Linked DNA regions of Mus musculus: region 1 is reported to be linked to region 2. Evidence: microRNA targets listed by miRTarBase, many of them from high-throughput screens and not tested one by one. Region 2 holds a microRNA gene; the other region holds the end of a gene's coding sequence.

The links. Region 2 holds the annotated microRNA mmu-miR-340-3p (UCCGUCUCAGUUACUUUAUAGC, at 3,720-3,741, opposite strand). A microRNA usually pairs through its seed, bases 2 to 8, with sites in the 3' UTR of a target mRNA and lowers its output. Matches are read on the target gene's strand: a 7mer-m8 pairs with bases 2 to 8, a 7mer-A1 pairs with bases 2 to 7 and ends in A, and an 8mer does both.
Region 1: the mRNA of Uba1 is a reported target of mmu-miR-340-3p. Seed matches in the 3' UTR shown: 7mer-m8 at 1,330-1,336.

The regions. Positions count from the first base shown.
Region 1 is chrX:20,681,682-20,686,681 of GRCm38, forward strand. Uba1 (ubiquitin-like modifier activating enzyme 1) reads left to right here. Exons shown (of 26, transcript NM_001136085.2): 24 at 222-323; 25 at 428-528; 26 at 697-1,498. The coding sequence ends at 832. Among named protein-coding and RNA genes, the nearest start is that of Cdk16, 4.2 kb to the right of the region's middle.
Region 2 is chr11:50,068,503-50,073,502 of GRCm38, reverse strand. It overlaps Mir340 (microRNA 340), which reads right to left and starts at 3,801; the gene lies at 3,704-3,801. Rnf130 (ring finger protein 130) reads right to left here. Exons shown (of 9, transcript NM_021540.4): 3 at 2,082-2,332.

The DNA.
Region 1 (5,000 bases), not on the chromosome of region 2:
GAAGATAGTGGGTAGAAGATGAGAATGGGGTTTTCCTTGTGGCATACGACCTGTCATTGTAAAGGTTCAGTGTTTACTCAGTGACATGGGAGCCATGAGAAGGCTTTGAACAAAAAAGGTTATGATCTAACTTAACTGGGTCTGAATGCATCAGGGCAGGGAAGGCAGGGAGGGCAGGGACTTCTGGAATGGACCACATCCTATTCTCTTTCTTATTGCAGTACTATAATCAAGAGTGGACATTGTGGGATCGCTTTGAAGTACAAGGGCTGCAGCCTAATGGTGAGGAGATGACCCTCAAGCAGTTCCTTGATTACTTTAAGGTAAGGCCTGTCTCCCTCTCCCCTTACCTGGAGGACAAGATGGATAAATTACTTTTTGGCCCTCCTGCCATCTAACACTGCTGATTCCCTCTCCTGCCTTCCAGACAGAGCACAAATTGGAGATCACCATGCTGTCCCAGGGCGTGTCCATGCTCTATTCTTTCTTCATGCCAGCTGCTAAGCTCAAGGAACGATTGGATCAGCCGTGAGTAGGCTATTGCCAGGCAGGCTGGGAAGGGCCCTGTGTTGGGTGGGGAGCCTCAGCTTTTGAAGCTTTCACTCCTACCCATCACCTCCCCCGCCCTCACCTACCTCCCCTTCCTCTTGCTTTGCCTCCTTGGCCCTCTTCCCTTACCCTCACCCCTTTCCCTAGGATGACAGAGATTGTGAGCCGAGTGTCAAAGAGAAAGCTGGGCCGCCATGTGCGGGCACTGGTGCTTGAGCTGTGCTGCAACGATGAAAGCGGCGAGGACGTCGAGGTCCCTTATGTCCGATATACCATTCGCTGATCTCCGTGCATTCCCCTAAGCCCCAGTCCTCCCTCCTCAGATCCTTTCCAATCCTGGTTTCCATTTGGCCTCAGGCAGTGGTCCATGTAGCCAAGCCTGGCCTTCCCTATTACCCAGCAACCTCAAGACCCTCTCACCGCTGCTTTGTACCTTGTTTGGAACCTAAATCCCAATAAAAGGATAATTACCCAGATGTAGCCATCCTGGCTGTCTCCAAGGAAGGAAGAAGTATGTCTAGAGTTCTCTGGTTCAAATAAGTACCCCAATGGGCTACTCCAGCTATAAGCTTTCTGGGCAGAGAAAACTGGGAATTGATATCTTTTATATACTCTGCATAACAGACATGAGGTACCAGTGAAGTTATGCAGACCAGTACCTGGGTCAATATGATTTAAGTGACTTGAACTGGGTTCAAACTCTGTCTTCTCCATGATCACTACTAGCTGCCTCCATCCACTATGAAGAATACACTTAACAGTGATCAGGTGGGGGCTGGAGAGACGGCTCAGCTCTTAAGAGCACTGACTGCTCTTCCAGGGGTCCTGAGTTCAATTCCCAGCAACCACATGGTGGCTCACAACCATCTGTAATGGTGGGTCTGAAGGGAGTGACAGTATACACACATACAATCAGTCAATCAATCAATAAAAACAGTGATCAGGCTGCAAGTGCTAAGTTCGCATGTTTTGGGCATTCTCCCTTGGGCAGATCCCTTCCCCAGTTTGAAGCAGCCAGACTCTGGGCCATCCTTTTGGTCTTTTGAGACAGTCTCTATTTAGCCCTGGCTGGCCTGGTACTCACTCTCTATACCAGGCTGGCCTCAAATTCACAGAGATCTGCCTGCCTCTGCTTTCAAAGTGCTGGGACTGAAGGCGTGCGCCACCACTGCCAGGCCAAGCTGACCTTTACAGTCATAGTTCCCCACAGCACCAGGATTGCCTGTACAGTTATTTCAAGTTCATGCTGAGGAGCCCTGAACAACCCAGTCTAAGGAACATCAATGTCATGAGGCATACTGAAGGTTTTTCTTTTCTTTTTCTTTTTTTCTTTTTTTTTTTTTTTTGGTTTTTCGAGACAGGGTTTCTCTGTACAGCCCTGGCTGTGCTGGCCTCGAACTCAGAAATCCGCCTGCCTCTGCCTCCCAAGTGCTGGGATTACAGGCATGCACCACCACTACCTGGCTCATACTGCAGCTTTTTTGGATATACTTGACTAAGGATATCTGGAGAAGAAAGTGTTCTTTTCTGCTTCAGTCTGCCCATATATCCTCCTAGGAGCTACCTGGACCTTATACCTTCCAGAGAAGAGCTGGCGCTGGGGCCAAGGAGTAATTGGTTAGTGCAGGTAGTAGCAGGAAGCTTATCAACAGCTCCATCAAGCCCACAGCAGCTGTGCTTCATTGTTTTAGCTGAGAGTGCCAAACAGTTGGGAACACCAACCTGGTTGGCTATCCTGGAGTTTTTCCTTCATTGACTTCTGCCTCCAACATAGCTGGGAACCAGTTTTTCTGTCTTATTTAGGAGTGTGACCCTTCTCCACTTCAGTGAAATAGTTCATCCCGTCCCCAAACTTGGCATAATTCCCATCACAACCTGTCTCCACTTCTACCTCCTGAGCTTTCTCCTGGCCCTAGGCAGTGAATGCTCTTGCCTACCTCTCTGTCTATACTTTTTTTTTCTTGGCCTGATCTGTTGGATTCACCTTATTCTTCCATATAGTTCTGTTTTACTCTCCCACCATGCCACTTTGGGTAACAGGCACTTTGCTTCTGGTGTCTCATGGTGATAGTAACTGTTCATGGTGAATGGGAAAGTTTTCCCACTGTCAGCACTCTATTGCTGTTACTTCTCTAAGAAGACACCTGCCACCTGCCCATTGTCTCACCCCATTACAGGCAAGCACTACATACACTGTTGTTTGTACTGGTTTTCCACCATCTCAGTTCCTTTATGGGCAACCTGCATACTTTGTTCTCTAACTCTTCCATTGCAGCTGATTCTCTATAGACATTCCAGTCTCTTTACCACCACTACTCCTGGATTCCTTTGATACTTTACTAGTATCTGACACCCTTGTTTATCAAAACCAGCTGTAATCCTAGCATGATGGAGGTGAATCAGAAGTTCAAGGCCAGCCTGGACTACATGAGACTCTGCTTTAAAACCAAAAGATTTAAAACAACCAGTTACCCTATAATTCTATGTCTTAGATCATACATACTCTTTTACTGTTGTATGTACGCCATTACAAGACCAAACTGATAAGAAATGGGGCTCAGCAAAGCCAGGATTGGGTAACTGTTGAGCCCCCTGTATCCAGCAGATTTGCAAATATTTGCCATCTAATTATTCAACCATTTGTTTAGTGCTGACTGCTAGGCACTATTATAGGTATTTGGTACATATTACCATCATAAGGCTTATGAAACTTAGAATTGACAATAAATACAACTAAGGTAAAAGTTGAGGGGCTGGATAGATGCTCTTCCTGGGTTTGGATTCCTGCACCTGAATTTCTTCTACTCATGACCATAACTCAGGTTCCAGGGATCTCATGGCCTCTTCTGGTCTGGACACAAGGTACAAACATGTACAGTTAGTTATACCTGCAATGCAATATATATATATGTGTGTGTGTGTGTGTTTCCTTCATGGATAAGGGAATCAGATCCCCTGAAAGAGGAGTTACAGTTGTTGAGCTGCCATGTGGGTGTTAGAAAATTGAACCTGGGTCTTCTGGAACAACAGCCAGTGTTAGTGCTCTTCACCACGGAGCCATTTCTCCACCCCTAAAATAGTTGAAAAAAGATAATCTAACATGACTAGAACAGTAGCTAGTGTTTGTCTAGCATGCACCAAGTTATGGGTTCAATCTCCTGTTCTGCATAAACTGAGCGTACTGGTACACATCTGTAATCCTAGAACTGGGGAGGTCATTGGAAGAGAATCCAGTGCTCAGGCCAGCCTGGCCTACAGAAAATCTTGTCTTGAGCCATGTTGAGTTCAAGACTCACATGCTAGAGCCAATTCTTGCAAGTTGTCCTCTGACAAGTGTGTTCATACACAAACACACAATTTTATTTATTTGGTTTTGTTTTTTTCAAGATACTGTTTCTCTGTATAGCCCTGGCTGTCCTGGAACTCTCTGTAGATCAGGCTGGCCTCGAACTCAGAAATCCGCCTGCCTCTGCCTCCCAAGTGCTGGGATTAAAGGCATGCACCACCACTGCCTGGCTAACATACAACTTTAAAAAGTATATTACATTCATTTAATTGGGGGAGAGGCATCCCATAATGTCCATATGTAGGTCTCTCCATGTGAGTCCAATCAACAGAACTTAGGCAGTTCAGTTTGGCAGCCAGGTGTCTTTACCTGCTGAGCCATTCTTCTCAGTCTTGCCATTTTTCTTTTTTAAAGACAGAATCTCTATGTAGCCCCCTGGCTGTCCTGGAGCTAGCTATGCAGGCCAGGCTAGCCTCAAGCTCACAGAACTGTCTCTGCCTCTTGAGAGTGCTGGGATTCTCTTCAGAGAGAGGGTTGCGCCACATATCTGGCCTATACATTTTTAAGTTTTTTTTAATGTGTCTCTGTGTTCACGTGTGTGTGTGTATGTGTGTGTGTGCGTGTGTGTGTGTGTTTTAGAGTATGCCATGAAGATGCTTGAGGAAACTAGAAGAGGGCATCCTCACTATGCTGCATTATTATGCTAAGGCCCTTAGTGCCACACTTTTTATACTATTGGCCAAAGTGATAACTATAGAAAGTAATACTCTGATGAGAAAAGGGGAAAATGTAAAATGAAACATTTGTGTCCATTTATGTTTATCCACTTAATGTCATGTTTTATAAAACTTCTCCTGGAAGCCGGGCGGTGGTGGCACACTCCTTTAATCCCAGCACTTGAGAGGCAGAGGCAGGCAGATTTCTGAGTTTGAAGCCAGCCTAGTCTACAGAGTGAGTTCCAGGACAGCCAGGGCTATACAGAGAAACCCTGTCTCGAAAAAACCACAACAACTAAAGAAGGAACTGGAGATACAGTGTGAACCACTTGATGTGTATGCTGAGAACCAAACTCTGGGGAGCAGCAAATGTCTGTAACCACTGAGCCATTTCTCCAGACCCAATCCCATTCATTTATTTTTTTCATTGTTTAAAAGTTGATCAATGA
Region 2 (5,000 bases):
AGAGCTAAAACAGTGCAGAGAGAAATGTATAGCACAAAATGTGTGCATTACAAGAGAAACCACTTCAGTCAAATGACCTGTTGACTTGATCTAAAATGTAATGCTTTAAACATTTAAAGAAAATCTTTGTGTGATAAAGAGCTTTTTTACAATTGATACCAAACATACAGTTTCAAGGAAAAATTCATATTAAACTTTACCAAAATTAGAAAATCCTTAACAATTTGTTTTTCAAGACTATTAAAGTGACTGAATAGACAAACTGGGAAGAAAATATTTTAAAGCACATTATCAGACATAGCAAATATCATATCTAAATACATAAAGAGTCTAAAAACTCAATGGTAAGGAGTGGTTAAGAGCACTGGCTGCTCTTCCAGAGAACCTGGGTTCAATTCCTAGCATCCATACGGTGGTTCACAACTGCCTGTATCTCCAGCCCCAGGATATCTAACACTCTCCCTATTTTCCAAGGTGACTGTATGCAAGTGGTGCACAGAGACAAGGATTTAAAATCCTCAACAGTAAAAGACAAAGAATTCAGGAAGAAAACAGGGAAGAGACTCAAGACATTTCACTGAAGCACTTGAAAATATGCTCAGGGTAGGGAGATGGCTGTCAGCATGGTGCCTGCTATACAAGTATGAAGACATGAAACTACATTTCTGTACCCACAAACTTGGGTGCAGTGGACATAATACACACACACACACACACACACACACACACACACATACACACACACACACACAGATGCTCATATAGGTGACAATGGGAGAAATGCACACTATAATCACAAAAGAAGTGTTATTCTATCAAATCATGTCAAGATGTGGAGAAACTGGAACAGCCACACACTGGAAAAGGGCACACTTTAAAAACAGCAACAACAACAACAAACCTGAATTAAACATTTATTTATTCAGTATTATACTTTTATTCTAGGAAAATGAAAACTCATGGTCAGACAAAAACCAGTACATGAACATCATAGCTAATTTATTAGACTCCCTAGCTGAAAATTATTCAGCTATCCTTCAATAAGTGAATAGCTAAGTAAATTATAGTACATCCATACCGTGGAATAGTACTCAGCAATAAAAAGAAAATTACTTATGTGTACAGCTTGGAAGGACTTCAAGGGAACTCTGCTGAACAAAGAAGAAACACAGCTCTCCAGGTGAAGTACACTCTGTCTATTCAACACTCTTGAAATGGCACTAGATGAAGATTAAGTTAGTGGTGCTGAACGGTTAGGGGAAGGGAGAGTCTCTGGCTATGAGAGAATATTGGACCCTTTCCTTACCAAAAAACAAACAAACAAACAAACCTGTCCTACAGCTTTTGTGCTGAGTACATGAATCTGCATGTAATGGAGTTGAACAGAAGCACACATGTCCATGAGCACATATTAAACAGGACAGCTCTAAAGACATCAGTGGGCCCAGTACAGCCATGGATCTGTGCTGTGATATTCACTACTGTTGGGCAAGATGCAACCACTTGGGAAATGGATCTCTATTGCTTCAATAAATAAGAGCAAGGTTACCACTACCCTAATACTAAAAGGAGCTGGTGATGCTGACAAAATGCAAACAACCTTGACCGAAACCACAAGACACAGGACACAGACCTGTGCTCTTCTGAGATGCCAGTATCAGGAAGCAGTAAAGAGACAGCACAACTAAATGTAACACACATTCTGGCCTAACTAATCTGGGGTTTTTGTTGCCCTTAAGGATACTTCTAAGCAGTTCTGGAGAACCTGAGAGAGCCGATAGGTCAGGAAATGTACTGAAAGGACATTCATTTACTGACTTTGATAGTTACAGTGTGATTATGTAGAACAACATTTTCTTTCATTTCTTTTTCTTTTTAAAACTGAGATAGAATATGGCCTGGAACGCCTGCGTAGTCCAACTGGCCTCAAAACCCCGAGTGCAGGTATTACAGGGTACAGCACCATACTTGGCATGTTTTTATCTTGTTGTTGTTGGTCTTGTTTTTAAATATATGACATAAACAAGTATTATCACAAGATCCTCATGGATTACGGCTGGCTAGAGTACTGGTTAGCTCACCTGGTTCCTGTCCCGAGCATTTGTGTACCTGATCTTCTGAATGAAGTAGAATATGAGCCACGCTGAAGAAATAATCATCAAAACAATAAAGGAGATTGACACGAAGACTAGAGAGCCACGGCTGAAGTTCTTTGGCGGCATTCGAGTTCCAACAGCTATTGTCATTTGTACAGAGATGTTTTTCTCCAGATAACTCAAAATATCCTTACCCCTCAATTCTGTTATCATGACAGCAATAATATCTCCCGTGCCTGTAATGTAAAACAAATACACAGACTAAAGTGACATCTGAAATTCATAGACACATCAAATAAATATACACATATGCTCCATAGAGAAATTACCATAATTTTCACTAAGGTTTATAGATTCCAGTTCAACTGACATGAGGCTGCAGCTGTGTAAACTGACAGGCATGAGAACATGTACAGTGCTCCAAACAGGTAACGCATAAAGCAACTGTGGTGTTAACAATGCACAAACTGCCTTACCGGTGCATTAGAAGCACTGTGAAAGCAGCCACCTGTGACTAAATCAGGTTAAGTCTTCAGTAGAAAACCTTTCTATAGCAATCAATCTGGAAAGTTCTGACAGAGAAGCACTGTCATTTACAGTCTGAACAGGTGGTCCTTGCACTACTCATCCTCACACGCACTGCTGAGCAAGGACTGCTCTAAGAAACAGAAAGAAGGGTACTTCTTAGGGCACACACTTGGCTATGGAGTGACAAGTGCCGAACGGCAACATCTTTTACCAACAACCTTTGAAACTAACTTTGGTCTTCTGTCTACAGTAAAGCTCCTTCCAGGGCACTTCTGGAGCTCAAACGCAACAATTTTCCCACCCAGTTTGGAGCCAGCATCTCACATTGCCTCGGCTAGCCTCAGACTTGAGTTTTATGTTAGTTTTCCACCTTGTTTAACCATGCCCAGCGCACTCAAATCCTCTAGGCAGGCCCAAGTTTCAACTTTCTGGACTACTACCCATAATGATACCTAAAACCTTCAGTTCCTAAAAGCTGTTCAGAGTTCTGCCCACAGGCACAACTTTTATAAGTTAATTACAAGGATGGTTCAGTTGTGTTTTCAAGTCCTTTTCTCACATGGCTTCAAGGGCCTGTTTTAAGTCAGAGTGAGCAGCTACTCACCAAGGTCACTTTTGTGAGTATGAAGGAGGATTGTGCATCCAAACACAAAATACCCTCTCAAAACAGCAAGCAGAGACCCCAGACCTGACCTTTTGAAGGCTCTGTCAACAAATATTAGAAACACTTGTTTTGATTTCTTGTTACCTTTAGCAGTCAAGATGAGACACAACAGAAACTCAGTAACAGAAGTTTTGAAAAAAATATAGCTCAATGGAATATATATTTGCATAATACTGTATTCAAAACGGTTTATTCACTTTATTAGAGTAGTAGTTTACCAGTTTATTTTTGCTTAAAAAATCTATAAACAAAAAGGAGACAACAAAATTAAAACTAGCATTATTAAGTTAACATCTGCCTCTGGTGAGTGAGTTAAAAAGAATCATAAAAGAATGCTAAACCAGTTTAAATTTCCATTTAGAAACCTTAAGTTTGTGCTTTTACAATGTTGATCAACAGGCATGATCTGTGGTGTTAAGATACCAGGTATGGCTATAAAGTAACTGAGACGGATCCCACAAACGACATATGACAATCAGTCTCATTGCTTTATAATCACACCAAGTACAATTGGTTTTAGAAATCAGTTCTGAGGCTCCCTCTTGAAGACTCAAGCTGGAAGTGGGGAGAGCTGCACAGGTAGCCAAGGCAACCAATCCAGTAATTTCCTTAACCGAACACTAAATGGGCGCGTCAACTAATCTCAACAGGAAGCTGTTTGGGAAAGAAAAATTTAATTAGTTCAACACTTGTCAATATTCACTGTTAGGAGGACAAGAGTGAATAGATCTCACTGTAGCTTTATCATCCTAGCAAAAAGAGGAGACTGGGCAATGTTGCCAAAGGAGACTGAAAATGATCAAATAAAAAAGTACAGCAGCACATCTGATATTAGTGAAGGCAGTGATCTCTTACAGAAGGTGATGAAGCAAACTACAAACCCTCCTAGGAAAAAAGTTTCTTTCTCCCCAACATCTAGAGCTGGGCTGGGTTCAAAGAGCCTAACAAGATGGCTCAGACATTTACAAATGGGGATGGGACTAAAGAGATGGCTAAGAGCACTGGTTGATCTTGCAGAGGACGAGGTTTGGTTCCCAGCATCAATATGGCAGCTCATAACTACTGTAACTCCAATTCTAGAGGGAACAGACACTCTCTTCTGGCCTTCGAGGGCTCTGTACACATGGTGCACATAGACTCATGCAGGTATACACACACACACACACACACACACACACACAATAAAAAAGTAAATAAACCTTAAAAACAAAACAAAAAACTCTTGGGAGAGTTGGTGCAGATTCAGGAGGGATGATGACAACAGAGGAAACTTAACCCTCAGGATAAAACTAGGATTAGAGTAGCAGTAGCTGGTAGGAGAGAGGGGTTAATTAGACTGAAGTAATGGAAACATTAAACAGATACAAAGAATGTGACCAGATCACCCCTATGCCTGTGTTCTGAAACACCAAGACATGGCTTTGGAGTTCAACAATCATGCAGCTATGTGTTCCTTTTCTACTGCTGTGGTTAAACATCATAGCCAACATAACGTATACAAGGAGGGGCTTGTTTGGCTTATAGTTCCATCATGGTGGGGAAGAATGGCAGCAAACTGTAGGTAGGAACTGGATGCCAAGAACTCACACCTTTTTAAAAACACTGTTAATTTCAATTATGTGTTTATGTGTGTAGCTTTGTGCATGCAAGTTATAGTTGCCTGTGGAGACCAGGAGTCACAGACCCCCTGGAAGGGGGGATACGGGCAGTTG